Struthio camelus: one gene and its partner. The protein of the gene in region 1 interacts with the protein of each later gene in a pairwise test. Links are inferred from orthologs where the notes say so. Each region holds a gene or a part of one and is shown on either strand. Other genes may lie near its edges.

Evidence for each region.
Region 2: the proteins of PPL (region 1) and RAB3IP interact in binary tests that used the Homo sapiens proteins (3 or more experiments, as listed by UniProt). The two-hybrid records come from large-scale screens. The link is inferred for Struthio camelus from reciprocal best matches to the Homo sapiens genes PPL and RAB3IP.

Annotation. Positions count from the first base shown.
Region 1 is NC_090956.1:17,374,439-17,382,989, reverse strand, and holds the start of PPL (periplakin), read right to left. Parts: upstream 3,164-8,551; 5' UTR 3,084-3,163; coding exon 3,022-3,083; intron 1-3,021. UniProt on the Homo sapiens protein: Component of the cornified envelope of keratinocytes. May link the cornified envelope to desmosomes and intermediate filaments. May act as a localization signal in PKB/AKT-mediated signaling.
Region 2 is NC_090942.1:40,821,072-40,828,805, forward strand, and holds the start of RAB3IP (rab-3A-interacting protein), read left to right. Parts: upstream 1-4,608; 5' UTR 4,609-4,708; intron 4,709-7,734. UniProt on the Homo sapiens protein: Guanine nucleotide exchange factor (GEF) which may activate RAB8A and RAB8B. Promotes the exchange of GDP to GTP, converting inactive GDP-bound Rab proteins into their active GTP-bound form.

The DNA of each region.
Region 1 (8,551 bases):
TGCCGGGCCGGAGCAGAGCATCCCACCCCTGCGTAGGGGACCTCGCGCCCCGCTGGGCGAGGGCCTCGGGCTCTGCTCTCAGCAAGCTCTGGGTAGCACCTTGGGGTACGAGATGCCTAGGCCGTGCGCAGATAGGAACTGGGGTAGGGAGGGGGTTGCTTGAAGCCCATAAACTTCAAGGTGCTTTGGTTTGGAGCCTTAAGGGCTAGTTTTGGGTTGGTGACTGGTGGCTGTCTGCATTCGGAGCCAGAAGGACGGAGAACGTTGTTCCTGGGCAGATTACAGAGCCTGGCTTGAGCTGCAGAGATTCATCTTCAGATCCTGACAGCCCTGCTCTGATCTCTGGCGCTAATCATCATGGCAGCTGCCCGAGCACAGACGGCAAGATGCCCGCGCTGCAACAGGAATTTGTCCCACGGCTGCCGACTGAAGGAGCCACCGAGATCGAGTCGTACAGTCGTCCGTGTCAGAGCGCTAACTGCCCTAGGAAGGTACTTCCTAGGCAACCCCTAACTGAATCAGCTGAGATCACAGGCCTGGCTCCTTATTACCTGCAGGAAATGTTCCAGCGTGATTGATCGCTTGCCAAACCGGTGCTCAGTTATGTGCTCTGTCACTACTATGCTTTGAACGCTCAGTCACCAGGGGCACCCTGGCACTCAGCCCTGAGCTAACACGCAACCCTACAACCTACCTTTCCCCAGCTGAAAAAGCCTCTCCGAAGAGCCGGCTGAGGCTGGGCTGGCCGCTGTGTCCAAGCCTCTGTTCCTGTTTACAGCACGGGGCTGTTGATTTTAGCAGGGTTGCTCTGTCTTTGTAGCAGCATAACTGGGCGGGAGCTGGCTCCGACTCCAGCAGCGCCTTGAGCGCGGGACGGGGCGGCAGGAGCTCCTCAACTCGCAATCTGCCCCCGGCTTCTCCAGCAAGTCGTTTAACCGGTCTGGCTCTGGCTTCCCCCTCTCGACTGCAGGGACGTCTCCACAGAGCGGGAGCGTTCCCTGCATTCGCAGATGTTTGTAAACTCCAGCACAGGAATTAACAAATTGGGCGTAATAAGCGCAGCCCTGCCCTAGGTGTGCGTGGACACACTTGGAGGCACAGACACGGCTCTCCGTGCTGCGGGGAGGGAGGGTGGCCCGAGGCCACATCGCGCGTCGCTTCCTGAGCCTGCACAATCCAGCCACAAAGAATAAGATTTCATCCTGGCCTACAGGTCTGCGGCCGTCAGAGGTGCGTTGACGTCCCTCTGAGGCGGTGCCCCGAGCGTGCTGGGCTTGCTGGCAGGGCGCTGGAGGGAAGGCCATCTTCCCGAGCCCCAGGTGCCCGTGCACGAAGGCCCGTCTCCTGCTGCCTCCCGGGCTCCGGGTGCTGCTCAGAGTCCTGAGATGTCAAGCCAGGTGTGGCATTTCTTGTGTTCAAGCCCTACTCCGACACCAGTGGAGATTAGAAACAGAACCTGGTTTTCACATCTTCGTTTGAGGCTGCAATCGCTCCTTCAGCCCTCGACGCTGGTGACGGGGCCTTCGGGGAGGCGCGTGCTTGTGCCTCAGATGGCACAAACTCCTCTCCCTCCACCAGCCCTTGCTGGGGTGGGAGCCGGCGCCAGAGCGTGCCGCGGGGCTTGGGGAGGGGGTGCAAGCGGCTGTTTCGACGGCCCTGCTGAGCCGGTCGGGCTGCAGAGGCTGCCTGGGGATCCCATCCCCGCTTCCGGAGCCGGAGCTCTTTGGTCCTCAGTACTGAGAGAGGGAGCTCAGCAGGTGCCAAGACCGACCTGAGTCCCCCCACGCTCAGGGTCTCCCCCTTTCAGGGGACCCCCATGCCAAAAGCGACAGCATGGGACCTGCAGGCAGCCCTAGTTTTGCCTGCAGGGAGGAAGCAGCGCGGCACTTTCCCCAGCTCCCCCACTGCCCTCCGCTGAGTCAGGACAGCTCCCTGACGTCTCGCCGCCAGCACTGCGACTACAGGATAGTCGAGCCAAAAAAGCCCAGAACTGAGCGGATTAATTCCCAGGTGGGGTGAGAGGCAGCTCCGGGAGCTGCTGAAGGCAGACCTGCGCACCTCGGCTGTCTGAGCTCCCCGCCTCGGAAGGGGTCAGCACCCTCTGGGCCGCCCGGGGCCCCCTTCCTGGGTCCCTGAACGCAGCCTCAGCCCCCGCGCCCGTTCTTGAGTTTCCCTTCCCAAAGGACGATTTTTGGGGAGCGCAGCGCAGCGCTGCAGCGCCCAGCCCGCAGGCTGGGGCAGGTGTCTCCCCGTCACCCCCATCCCAGCGGCAGACGGGCAGCGCTGCCAGAAGCGCAGCAGGGAAAGAGGAAATGCCGAACGGCCGGAGAGCCGTTTGCGCAGCAGTACAAAGCCACCGGCTCACATCCACACCTGGAGAGACGGAGGCAGGAGGGCTCCTTCCCTTCCTCGCATTACTCACTAGTGGCTCCCGGAGTGTATACACTCCAGAGCCTCTCCAGGCCTTTCCAGAAATGCTAGACTTCCTCCCGAATTGATCAGAACATTCAACTTCTGTTGCAAAAATGACCCCTCTGTCCCTGACATGCACCCAGGGGTTGGGGACTGGCCGCCCTCCAGTTTCCTTCTCTCCTACAATGAATCATTCAGCCTGGAGAGAGGCCGTGCCTTTTCTATTGGGAACTTTTACATCTTTTCCATTTTAACAGCATTCTTGCAAGGGGTATGTGTAACCCCGCGCGTGTTCTTGCACCAGCACAACTTAAAATCCATTTCCACCCCAACAGAAAGGGCGTCGAGAGAAGAGGAAACACTGACTATTCGGTTCTAACGAAACCAAAGCTCAAGGCAACGAGCGCTGAAGCTGCGAAGGCTCGAAGACCGACTCTGGCCTCCGCCGAGGAGGGCACGGCAGCGGCTCGGCAGCCCTGCCGCTCTCGGGGACCCCGCCGAGCGCGGTGCGCGGCGGCGGTGCGGAGCGGTGCGGAGCGGTGCGCGGCGGGGCCGAGCGCTGCGCCGCGCTCCGGGCGGCCCCCGACGGGGCGGCGGGCGCTCACTCACCTCTTCTTCTGCACCGAGGGGCTGTACTTCCCTTTGTTGCGCTTCCTGAAGAGCGAGTGCATCGCGGCGGCCGGCTCCTTCCCCCCGCTGCCGCCGGGAGCCTCTCTGCGCCGGGAGCCGGCGGGGCCGGGCCGGGCCGGGCCGGGCCGGGCCGGGCCGGGGGAGGCGGGGACGGGGCTGCGGCTGCCGCTGGCCCGGCCCCGGGGTGGTGCCTGCGCGGCCGCGGCAGGTGCCAGCGGCGCGGGCGCGGCCCCCCCGGCACCGCCGCGCCGCCTCCAGCCCCTTCCTCCTGCGGGGCGGCCCGGCTTCGGGGCTCGCCGACTTGGCGGGCAGTTTTGTCAGAGCCAGATATTTCCCTTTTTTTTTTTCCTCGGCTCTTCCGATCGGGGTAGAGACGTGTCGAAGTTGTCCCGGCTCCCCGGAAGAGCACAGGCTTAAAGATTCAGGAAAGGGCAGTGTTGGACTAGCTGTAAAAAAAAAATCACCGCTGGAAAGGCAGGGCAGATTCCCCAAAGAGAAGTGCTCCGAGAGTCACCAAATCCTTGGGAATCAGCCCTGCCCAGGCAGTCCTGCTGTGGGCCAGGGGTGCGTTCGGGGTGCTCTCCCCTCCGGGGTGCTCCCGCGCAGTGCCGGGTGCCTGCTCGGGGCAGACGGGCCCTGCTCCTGGTTCCTGTGCCGAGGGGGCCGAGGGCTGCGGCGGCAAGGAGAGCTGGCTGCCAGGCAGCGGGGCTGCAGGGCTCGCCTGCTCCTCTGCCGGCCTCTCCGCACTGCGCGGTTTTGCCCCAGCGCCTCTGCCTATGTCCTGGTCTCGGGAGGGACCAGAGCGGACTTGGGGCGGCAGCTTGGCCGACGAGCTCGGAGAGGGCCCCAGGCTGTCCGGTGCCCCGGTCAGGGCTGGCGTGTGTCCCTTTGCCCCGGCCGGCAGCCCAGCTCCAGCAGCCGCCAGCACCCTGTGCGGCGGGCGCCACGCCAGGGCTGTGCCACCCCCGGCTGCGCTGCAGCAGGGGCTCGGGCTGCATCCGCTCAGCGGCTCCCGCCGGCTCTCGCACAGGGGCCCAAGGCAGCCTGGCTTTGGCCTTCCAGCCGCAGAAAACAGTCCGCTGGGAAGCGACTCTTCCAAATCCTATCGCAAAACTGCCAGGAGGTTGCTCCCCCAACCCGGAGCCCTTCCCGGCTTCGGGGCCGGTCCTCAGGGCACAGACGGGCAGTGGGGAAGGGAGAGAGCTGGCTCCCTCCCGCCTGCCGCAGCCTAAGAGGTTTTGCTCACCCATCCCCGTGTGCACAGCACTGAGCAATTAGGAGCAGCTCTGGCCTTTTTATCCAGGGATTTTGTGCCCATCTGGGATTAAACAACTGAATACATGATTGTCGCTACCTCACCAGCCCCAAATCCTCTGCTGATTTTCATTCTCGGGGCAAGTCAGTGCAGGCTGTGACCTATTGCTCCTGATCCCCGGCTTGGGTCGGATTGCCACCTCTTTCGGCAGCATTTGCTCCACGCGGCGTGCAGAGCCCCGAGCCCTGCGCTCGCTGTCGCTGCGCGGAGAACCGTTCCTGCACGGATCCAGCTGCGTCCGCACGATGCTGGGGGGCAGCAGGTCCTAGCGCTTCGAGCACGCGGCAAGTATGTGCAAGTGTGTGTGTGTGTGTGTGCGCGCGCGCGCGTGGACTTCTTCCACCTCCGCTCCTTGGGCTGTAACCTTGGGCGAAGAAGCGAGGTGCGCAATCCATGTAATCCTGGCTGCTTTTTAGAGGCAGCATCCGAGAACCTCCTGAGTTTTCGCAGTTCTCCCACATCTGAGGCAATTTCTGCAAAATGCTCTGATTCGAGCAACGCCGCCTTCGCCGGCGAGGGCTGCTTCGCAGAGCCGCGCTGCCTGGCGGCGGCACCGAGCCCCTCGCAGGGCCGTGGCTGCGGCAGCTCGGCGGACCGGGGCCCTCGGCAGCCAGAGCAGGGGCTCGCGGGACGGTCGGTGGCACCTCCGGCCGCTCTCTCCGGCTCCGCCAGCCCTTTCCCAGCCAGAGCGGAGCCGCCCCCTGGCCTGGCGCGGTCCTCGCTGGAGGACGGCGGCGGGGACGGTGCTGTAATGACCGACTCTAGCGGGGCAAAGGATGCTTGGTTACCGAGTGACGTGTTCTGCGCTTCGAAGGTGATGGCAGTTGATTTGTTTGAGGCTCCAAAGCTTTTAAGAGAGCCCTGTGCTTTCTCTGGAGAGCGCTGGCGTGGCGTTGCCCTTTGGCTCTCCTATTGATTAATCGCTGGAAATCAGCTTGGCTGTGAGCCCCAGCCGGTGGCGGCGGCGGCGAGGCAGGACCCGGGAGCCAGGAGGGAGGGGGCTGCGTGCAGCCTGCGGCCCCCAAAAGGCGCCTTGTGCGGCTGCATCGCCGCAGCCTGGCGCTTTGGAGGGTCCCTGCGGGCTCCAGCGGAGAAGTCACCCCCCTGCAAGGGAGCGAGACCTGCCCGAAAGAGAGCCGGCCGCCGGGCTGCTGGGGGAGAGGAGCCCTCCGCCCCTGGCTCCCGCCTGCCCCTGCCGCCTCCCGAGCGCCGGCCCGGCTTTGCTCGCCTCTGCCGGGCGCCGATGCCGTTCCCACGTGCTCGTGGCTGACTCAGGTCCGCTCCGCGGCATCCATCCTGCTCCGCGCTGCCTGCCAGCGTGGGGCCTACTAGCCCCCACTAGCGAGAGACCCTCTTCATTAGGCAGCAGGCTGCGGCGGCAGCAGCGGAGGGGGATGCGTGTCCCCGTCGCTCCCCGACCTCGGGGAGAGCCGCACCGGCAGGCGTGGGACGAGCAGGGCCGGATCGGCCCCGACCGCCCGAGCCGCGCAGGGGAAAACTGATCCCGGAGGCAGAGGAGCCGGCGGGAGCCGGCGGGCAGCGGGCTGGCACCAGCCTGGAGCGAGGACGCCGGGCCGAGCAGAGCAGGGCGTCCGGCTGGGCCCGCGCAGCGAACCTCCGAAACGCTCGCTCCTCGCCGGCTTGCACCCCTGCCGCCGGCCGCAGCGCTAGCGCGCGGAGAAGGGCGAATGTATTACTACCCTCCGGACGACTAACGCGCTGCGTTTTCATAGCCTCTTCCAACCCTGCGTCTTAAAGTCTCTGAGAAGCAGAGATATATTTAGCGCTCTCCCAGATGCCCGAGCCTGCGTCTCCGTTGCTAGGTCAAACGGCGAACGCCGTTCTGGCTGGCACGCTAAGCGCGCCCCGGCGGAGGGCCGGTTTTTTCCGCTGGGCGAGGAGGCGGCGGGGCCGTGCTGAGCGGCGCGGCGGCTCGGGGGCTCTGGCTGGCGGCGCCAGCAGGGCACCCTGCCCATGCACGGCCCCGAGGCCTGGCCGCCCAGGGCCTCTGTGGAGCCCTGCTGGCAGTCGCTGTGATGAGTGGTGTGGGGTCTCTGCAGGCAAGAGCCCCAGGAGAGCCTGGCTGCCGGCGGCGCCCTGTTTCCCCGCCGGCAGAGCCGGGTGCCCTCTTGCACTGTGGCCGGGGCAATACCGTCCCCCAGGAGCAGTGTCTTGCCTGCCCAGGGCAGCGTGCGTTGGCTTGTGGCCCAAGCCGAGGGGGAGGAGCAGGCAGAAGTCATGCTCCGCGTCCTTCCATTTAACCAGATGATATTTTGCCTAGCTTTATTTGCTCTAGAAAACACTCTCAGGTTTTGGCACTTTGATACCCCCCGGTACGTCGTGGCAGCGCGTCGCCCCGGACCGGCCGGCCTGCCGGGAAAAGGCAGCTCCTCGTCCCGCTCCGCAGAGCTCCTGAGCCAGCCCGGAAGGTGAACAGAGCGCTGACGTACCGAGGAAATGTCCCTGTCTATCGCTTCTTCTTCTTTTTTTTTTGTGTGCATCTTTTCCTCTTTTATTCCCCTCCGGCGTGACCTCTGCGGCGCTAATCCCCCTAATCTCCCCTCATCTCCGGCGCGGTTCATTTGCGCGCGCGAGTGCCCTTGAGAGCCGCCGAGCCGAAACGGCTCGGGGAAGCCCGGCAGGCAGCGAGAAACCCCGTCGGGGTGGAAGCCTGTCCGGTGCAAACCGCCCGGGCATTTTGCCTCTATCCTGCCTTTGGGCTAAGGCACCGTGTGAGCCCAGCTCGCCGGCTGCTCTTTGGGCAAGAGCTTTAATCCCACCCGATTTCGGAGCTGTGACGAGCGCTGCCGTGCTGCTGCCCTCCTGCACTAGCCAAACCAGAGCCTAAAATCAGGCTTAAAATGATTTTGAGGGGCGTCCCGAGCTTTGCTGTCCCTTGTACTCGGGCAGGAATCATGGCTGCTTCCGGCACCTTGCCCCGAGTCCCTCCAAAAGAGGCACTTCTCCATGGGCGCCGCGGCCGGGACGCGGCGAGGCCGGCACAGGGCCCCGTGTCCGGTTGCCGCCAGCTCCCGGGTGTCTGCCAATTCGGAAGAGGCAATACTGGCGAGGAGAGAAATGAGAGCTGATGTCAAATCTGGGATACGGCGAAACGGAGAAGCTGTGCAAAAGCTCCGGAAAGGTTTCGGGCCTCTGTGCTCACTGGGGTTTTGATGCAATTAAAAACACAGAAGAATTTAAAAATCCCCTAATGTTTCTTGGGCTTCAGGAAGCAGAAACGCCCTGCCAGCGATGGCCCGGGGCGGCGAGCGCCGCGTCCCGCCGGGGCTCGGGGGTCCCGCGGGCGCCTCTGCGGCCCCTCTCCCGTGGGCGCAGCCAAGCAGCCAGCCAGCGCCTTTTGCAGAGCGCAGTCCTTGCAGGCAGGCAGCAGCGCGCCAGCGCTCGCTCCCCCTGGGGCGGCAGCTCGTGAGCCGGCGAGCGCGTTGCGTGCCCCCAGGTTTTGCTTTCGCAGCCCGCTCCTCCCGCGCAGGGCCCTCCTTGCACGCCGCCGCCGCTGCCTCCAAATGCCGGCTCCGCAACCGTTTCGGGGGCCTGGCCGGGTGACGCCGGCTCCCTTCCCCACGGAGCCGTCCCGTCCCCTTGCCCGGCCAACGCTCCAGCGCACCCCGATCGGGACCCAGCGTCGGCTCTCGGGAGGCTTCTCGGTGCCGTTGCCCAGTCGAAGGGGTTTGGTTTTAGGCTGAAGGATTCAGTTTGGGAGCGGGAGGAGTTGTGAAAAAAGTGGGAGATTTCTTCCAAAAGCTGAGGCGCTTGGTGGGAAAACAACTGGATCAGCCAAAACCTCTTTTTTTCTTTCCTGGGTGGAAATTTTTGGCAAGCCTCACGGGAGCGTGAAGCTGAGCTGGTCACTCCACTGCCCCGGGATTTTTTGGCCGTTTGGAGGTAGGACGGGGTGTTTTGAAGGGCGTCCCAGTGCCCGGCCAGCGTACGGCAGCCGGGCACTGCGGCACCGCCGAGCTGCCGCTTCCCTCCCGCGGCTCCCAGACTGGCAGGAATGTGGCTGTGCTTGTTCCAAACTGCTCCGTCGCGGGGCGAAACCTCCCTGAGCTCCCTTCAAGGCTCAGTCACGAGCCTGGCTAAGCCGGGCTGCTCCAGCCCCGGCCACGGTGGCCCACGCCGCTCGCGCCCCCTTTTCTCGCGCCCTTTTTACTCGCGGGCGTCACCTTTCCCGCG
Region 2 (7,734 bases), on another chromosome or scaffold:
TCAGAAAACATTTCTATCTCCAAGGGTAGTTCAGCGCTTGAATACATTGCTTAGGGAGGCTGTGGAATCTCCATTACCAGAAATTTTGAGAAACAGGCTATATGTCAGGAGTATTTAACATCAATCCTGTCTATTTGCTCTTATTCTGGAGGGGTTTTTTAGTGGATAAATTTGAAGAAAAATAAGGTCTCATTGGTTTTAATGTTCTATCAGTTAAATCAGGGGCAGTAAAGACAAAAGCCGTGGTTTTAGCACTCCCATAGCTGGATGCTTATTTATACCAATGTACCAATTAGATTTGCTTTCCAAAAGCTTAGCTAAAATGCTGACGAAATATGCCTGATTGGGGAAGTCTTGTCTATGCCACGGTTCCCAAAACTGCTAGCACTGGTTCAGCTGAACTAGCAGAAGGAAAAAAAAATCTCTAGTGTAGATAAGATTTATAGTCTCTGTACCTTAGTTTCCTTATATGTACATAGTAGAACATTTATTGGCTTCTCTTCACTGTCCTATGGTGTTGCAATGCATGTACGACTTCTATTAATAGATTTATCCCTTGGTTTGCCTGAGTTTATTGTTTTGTAATACCTTCTTTGAAAGTGAGGTAATAATTAGTTTATGCAATATTAAAAGCTAACAAAAGAAACAAGCAAGAAGTACCTCAAGGAAGTAGAAAATAGAGTCCAACCTTATCTGCTTTATTTATCTGTGAAATTGCTGAGGCATCCTTCCCTACCACACACTCGAACACCTTCTCTTGAGAAAACCACCACCTCATTCTTCTTAGTCCTCCCAGCCTGCAGGAGGAACAGTTTGACTAGCCAGTGTTTGTGCCTGTGAGTACATGTAAGAAGCCTTTATTAAAGTCAAGTCAGATCAAAGGGAAACACTGCACTTCACTTTAAAATCCTGCAGTCATTCTTGGCTTTTAGCAGAGAAGCCTGCTACAGTCTGGGCCTAGCCTCTGTGAAGCATCTTTTTCCCCTGTGCTTTTTCCTCACCGAGACTGATTTTCCTCACTGAAATATAGTCCAGTGAAAGGTAACTATTAGGGAAGAATACAGCTGCATTTGGAGACACGCTCTCTCACACCAGTGGTTTAAATGTAATAGAGGATTTGGACAGACAAAGATGCTGTAGTCAGAGGGATTGTGTGCAGTGAGGGAATATGTTTGCGAAAATATTCACCACATTTTGCACCAGTATGTCTGGACAGAAGCTACAGCAATGAGTCTGTCAGTTATCAGTATATGGACTGCTGAGACCGAGTCTGACTGCAGCAAGATAGGATGCAGCTTTCTATCTAGCTGGAGAATGTGAATTTCTATTTTGGGGCATCTAACCACACTAAGGAGTCCAAAAGGAACATAGGAAATGATTCAACAAGCTGAGTAAATAGATTTTCTAGGAGCAGCAAATACTGAAACAACGCAATTGCAGAAAATTCCATCCTCCACGTTTTATATATTGTGCAGTTTTGTTGAAAGGTCCTGTCAGACTACATCTGTTTATTCAGAGACAGCATTCATGGCATATTTTATTCCAGCAAAGCTGTAAACTGTACCTCACTTTCTACTGGCCACAGTGGCTTTGCTCATTTAAAAGAACAGCCATGTATGTTTTTGCTTATAAAAGGACTTTCAGTTTTCCTGATGGTGTCTAATTGCCAGGACCCTGATGGCACTACTAGGCCTTAATTGTCCTGACCAGCTTCACCTGGGATCTCCACCCAAGCACCCTTTTTCCATAGTGGGGAGGGGCTCTAGGGGCTTCATTTAAGCTTGGGTTTGGGACTGCAGGTTTTGCCTGAGCTGTGTTTTGGGTGAGCCTGTCTCTGTTCCTTCCCCCTTGGACGAAGCTCATACCTACATTGTAGGTGGCTTGGTCTTTGGTCCTGTCTTCTGCTGTTCCTGGGTGGACTTCTAGGATGGATCCTGGACGTGATTCAAAATCTCACCTTTTCTGATGGTCACTAGATGAATGACAGAAACTGTTGCTGTCACCATCCCAGCCCTGTGCATGACTGTGCCCTTGCCGGTTGGGGCCACCCTTGGTCCCAACTAGTTATCCACGGTGGAGTGGCCCCATTCTTGCTGTTCCCTGGTGCTGATGTGCAGCTCAGGAAGAAACCAAAGGTTGCCTAAAAGTACTCTTTTAAAACAGATTTTTTTCTTGAAAAGAGACTCTAATTTTTATTAATATATTTGAACTTGATCCTAGTTGTTTCAACTTCTAATTTTAACCATGTAAGTTATATTTTCTACAGTTTCTTGCCATCTGACTTTTCAAAGTATCATACATAGCAAAATATAGGAATACTTTGACAAAATAAATCTGTTCATGATTAATTTTAGCACAACCAAATACCTTTAGAACTGTATGGCTTTTATTTCTTGAAATGCAAGACATCTAATCTGGTTAGAACAGCAGACTGTCATGCCAAGTACAGTCATTCTACAGGATTAAGAACTATAGGATTACAGATCCTAATTATAGACTCTTGTCAGTTTACTAAATCCTGATACATTGTTTCCAACTTCTGATTCCACTTGTCAGGTCTCTTTTGCAATCATGTTTTTAATGAACTTTCTGATGTATCTTCTAACTTCAGAAACCTGTATTCTGATAGCACTGACTGGTCTCTATTGTATGTTTAAAGGTCGGAGCACCAAGACCTGAGCATCTCCACTCTGAGGCTTTTCACAACAAACTTCAAATTATACTGTTATTCAACTACACCACTTTCTGCTCTACTTGGTTCATTGGTTTTAGATTACTTCCCGAGAAGCAGTTGATGATGATTCTATGTAGCTTTTTTTTTTTTTTGGCTGCCTGACCGCTCCCCACCCCACCTGCGGTCAGTGTAGATTTATGCACTGAAGATCATTTTAAAAGATACTACTATTTATAGGTAATATATTTATGATGAATGACATTGATATCTTTGTCTTTTGACATCTTCTTTGTCATATTATTTTGCCCTCAATGAACTTTTTGCTTTGTGGAAGCTATGGTTAAGAACATTATTTGTCCAATTGTCGATAGCTGTGTCCTGCAGGACTGGTCAAGCAGCATTCTTTCACATTCAGTGGAAAGCTGTCAAGATAATTAACCTTTCAATAATTGACTGGAATGTGGCCTAGATTCTTTAACTGATGAATGGGGCGATCTTATTTACATTAGGATTTTTTTTGCTAAAGTTACTTACCAGTGCAGCACTCAGTTCAGCTGCTACTGACAATAAGCAATAATAAGCAATGATACAGTCAATACTGCTGTCATTTGAAGCATAAGTTTTGGCTGCCTAATCAGAACAGTGGTAAAATGGAGTCTTGTTTATAGAGACCTTCTAATGTTTTGACTACTGATTCTAAAAGCAATATACAGACTGGGACTTCAAAAGGAAAAAGGGAAGGCTACATGTTAACTGCCACAAAGTCAGAAAATTGCCTGAACTATAGTAGTTGTCACGGTTGCAGTAACGATGGTTTAAGGACATAGTCAAGCCAAGATTAGAAGTAATAGTAATAACTTCTTATTGGACAAACTAGTAAAGCTGGAAAAACAAAGCTTTTTTTTAATAATAGTCTTTTTTAGTTATGGGACCTTATTTCATCATTCCTGTGCATATGCATTATAGTTCAGTCTTTTATTACATATATTAGACAGGAGTAGGCCCTCATTTAGGGAGATGCATGCCCCATGAATGAAAATCCCTGGGTAAGTATCAGGTTTCTCATTTTTGATTGTGCAGTCCTGTAACTTTATTACTGTATACCAATTAAATACAGAACTACTCATTTCCTTGCTTTTTTTTCCCCCCCCTCAAAGATGCTCCAGGTAACAAAACACTCAGACTTTGACAATCTTGTCCTCACCTGCCTGTGAACAAAAGTGATGTTTTAGCCCTCTTTTCCAGCTCACCATCAGAGGAGCTAAGTATTGACAAACCACTTCCAAAGTCACAACTCTACCTGTAGTTTGCCTTCTCGCAAACCGCAGCACCTAAGACAGTTTATGCTGTGCACCACTTCAACGGTGAGTATTCAGTATTTTTTCAAGTTGGGCCTGAAAACGATGAGCTGGGAGCGCGTTGTGGCCAGAGCATCAGCCAGGAGAGTCCTTGGTGCTGCTGGCAGTCGAGGGAAGGTGACGGCGAGCCCGGAGCAGACCCGCTGCAGCCATCAGAGCGGCAGAAGAGCCGGGAACGGGCCCACTCCGGCCGTGTAGCTTGTCCTCCCCCCTCAGCCCGCGCCTCCTTTCCTCTAGCCCTTGGGAACGCGACTTGTTTGCCGACAGCGCGACAAGCCGAGGGCCGGGTGAGGCAGGGGCCGCCCTACGAGCCTCCTTTAAGGTGTTTCGAGTCGCTGGCGAGGCCGGCTGCTCCCGCTCAACAGCGTGGGGCGCTTCCCGAGGACAAGAGGCAACTCCGGGGGGGGGGGAGGGGAATGGAGACCAGGCCCCACAGAGGCTGCTGGCGGAGGCGAGCCGCCGCCCCACCCCCTTCCCGCCGGGGCTGGCGGTTGGGGCGACGGTTAAACCCCTCCCCGGGCGGGGTCTCGCGCACCTGCCTGCCTCCCGCCCCCGGCGGGTGGGGCGCATGCGCAGTGGTTGCGAGGCGTCCCGCCCCCTCCAGTCCCCCCCCCCACCGGCGAGGTTGGCTGAGGGGACGCGGTGCGGAGACGGCCGCTCTCGCTGGGCTCGGCAGGTGAGTGGCGGCGGTGCCCCCCCCCCCCCCCCCCATCGTGGGGCCCCACCGCGCCTGTCCGGTGCGGAGCCGCCGGCGGGCTTCCCGGTGCCGGCCGGCTGTGGGGCGGGCTCTGCGCCCGCTGCCGGGGCCAGCTTGGCGGGGAGGCGTCGTGCGCCCGGCGCGGCGCGGCTCGTTCCCGGTGCCGTTGGCTTGAACCGCGGTCGGCAGCGAAGTCGCTTGGGGTGGGGGGAGGGGAGCCCCCGGGCCGGGGGGCTGCGGGGCGGCGGTGCCGGCCGGCAGGGAGGGCTGACGGTTGGCGTTAGTTAGCGTGAGGGGGAGCCGCGCTCGGGCTAGCACTGCTCGCAAGCGCTTCCCCGTGCCCGGCGGGGCAGCGCGGCCGGCTCCGGGCGGGGGTCCGCGGAGGGAGGGCGGGCGGCGGCGCGGCCCGAGGGCTGGGGCGAGGCGCGGTCGGCGCGGTGGCGGGCTGGTTTCGGCGCGGTTCCGACCGCTCCGCGGTCTGCGAGCGCTGCCGAGGCTGACGGCGGGCCCGCGGCTCGGCGGCCACTGCGTACTGCTGCAGCAGCTCAGGAGCGGGGATTTGCAGCTCGCCGTCGTTTCTTAACGCGATTACGCTGGAGAGCAAGGCGCGCGGAGGGAATTCTGGTTGCGAGTTGGTGGCAAGGCGGTGAGCGGTGCGGAAGCGTTGCGCTGCCGACGTGCTCGCGCTCTGCTGGGGGCTCCCTGATACTCGTAGGACTCCAGGAAGCAGGGGCACACCAAGCGCAAGATCCTGGACGATGCCGTAAACTCAGAAGTACTGCTGACAAAAAGCAACCGGGTTTTCATCAGTTTGGAAGTGTGGTCCGCTTTGTTTGCGGATGGCTTACTTGACTGTGTGCTCGCTGATTTGTTCGTTGTGTTCATCTGTAAGCATCTTCCGCAGAAAATCTGAGAAACGGTGATCTAGGTAGTTAAGACTAGCAGTATTTGTGATTACCAGCTTCTCTTTAGGAGCAGACGAAAGGTTATTCAATCTAGAAGCATGCAGTGGCAGCTACCATCTGTTCGAATATTTACATTCCTCAGTAAAATAAGGGAAGAACCTTAGCTCTTGTTGCTTTAATATTTTTATTGTTGTTTTCATTTTATTATAGATTGGTTTAATGAGGTCTGGGGTGGGTTAAAATCAGGCCTTTTGTATTTCTGTCTCAGCGGTCGCTCTTCTGCTGCGCTTGGTTAATGTTACCTAGTGAGCAAAGAAGGATGAATAATTTACCATTCTCATTATGCTTTTAATAAATAACAAATGTGAGTGCACCTCACAGCTGCAACTGAAATATCCATCTTGTTACAGTATATTTAAAAGGGTAAATTTTTCTATAAGGAAAGTTAAAATAAATCTTCTGATTACAAACTACACCTATCTTCATAGCTGTATTGACTTCATTTAAAATTAATTTTAAAATGCTAAATAAACTGCTCTCATAGCTATTCCAATTAAATTTATGGATTTTCTCAGAAAACATGTACTTTGGATTTTTATTTTTAAGAGCCTTTTAAATATGGTGCTTAAAGTCTTGTCTACTGTAACTTTGCCAAAACTTAAAGTTTAAGACACTTCAATTACACGTAGTATGGTAACCAGTTTTTTCAGAAATTAAGAAAATGAAATATTTCCTTAATGCGTTTACAGATAGCTTTAGAAGGCTTTGCAAAAACCGTGAAAACTGTAATCATTTTTATTTATTAATAAAATATTTTTAGTGTTAATTAAAAAATGAAAGGGTTACTTTAGTTGAAGTTTTGGCAAGAGTTGTGATGCTGTCAGTCAGTGTGATCAGGCTTAAAACCGATAAGGTGTTGTAAAGCTGTTTCCAAAACAAGGCAGAACAGTGCTGTGCCTTAAAAAGAGCAGTATCTGGAAAGAGATGAATATTCACAGTAAAACTAACTTGGTTTAGAGAGGCTTTTGGAACCGAACAGCATTCACTGAATGTTTGTTTATAATAAAATTTCCAAGCATTATACCTTGCAAAGCACTGATTTTTTTTTTTTCCTCTCTCTCTAGTAAAAGGTATACTGGATTCTAGACTGCATTTATAGGTTTCACAAACACTTCATAAATATAGATCTTTGAATCTTGCCTGCTACTTATTTTTGTAAGAGATAAAACACTTGCAGTCACCTGTACTTTTCTAGATGAAGCTATCCCAATGATAACACTTTCAAATGAGATTTTTAATCATCAGTTCAGCAAAACAAAAATTCTTTTAATGGACTTGATAAAATCTTGTTATCAAATAGGTTAAATATTTCTTTAAAACAGCGTGAAAAATTGTTTTGTATGTCTAATATGAGAGTACAGAATATAAAAGACCCTGATCATAGTGACTTCATATGGCATAACTAATAGAAATATGATAGGAAAAAAACCCTGTTGAACTGAACTGAACCTTTTTTTTTTTTTGCTTGTTCTTTAAACTTTCCTCACTGTTTCTTTTGCTTTTGATAGGTCAATATGTTGTGTAAGATCACTTTCAAATAAAAGTAGAATATCTGAAGACTGGAGTAGTTCAGTGCTCTTCTTTTCTCTCATATCTTGCTGTCTCCCAAATTATGTTCCCTGTTTGGGCTGCTTAAGTAGAAAGTTCCATCATAATTGCAAAACCTTAAAGGTAGGGTAATTTTTCTGTGTCTCTGAAGTAGCTAAAGGCCACGCTATCTTATTTTATCTCTAGTTGTTTTTTATATAATCTTAATAAATCAGACTTGTGAAGAATTTACTTTTATCACAATCTGTTGCATAGTGGTGCTTAAACAAAAACTTCATATCTTGCTTGCAACACTTTAAAGGCTTTGGCTGCTGGCATCTCATTGTTTATGTGGTGGGCAAGGGCTACAGGAGCGCCAAGGTTATTTGGTGAGCTGTAATCCATGCCAAGGTAGATTGGAGGGAGGCAGTGAACCATACTTATGATTCAATTTTGAATTGTTTTCTGTAAACCTTAAGGGAATTCCTATGCCAAATCTTGAATTGTGTTTGT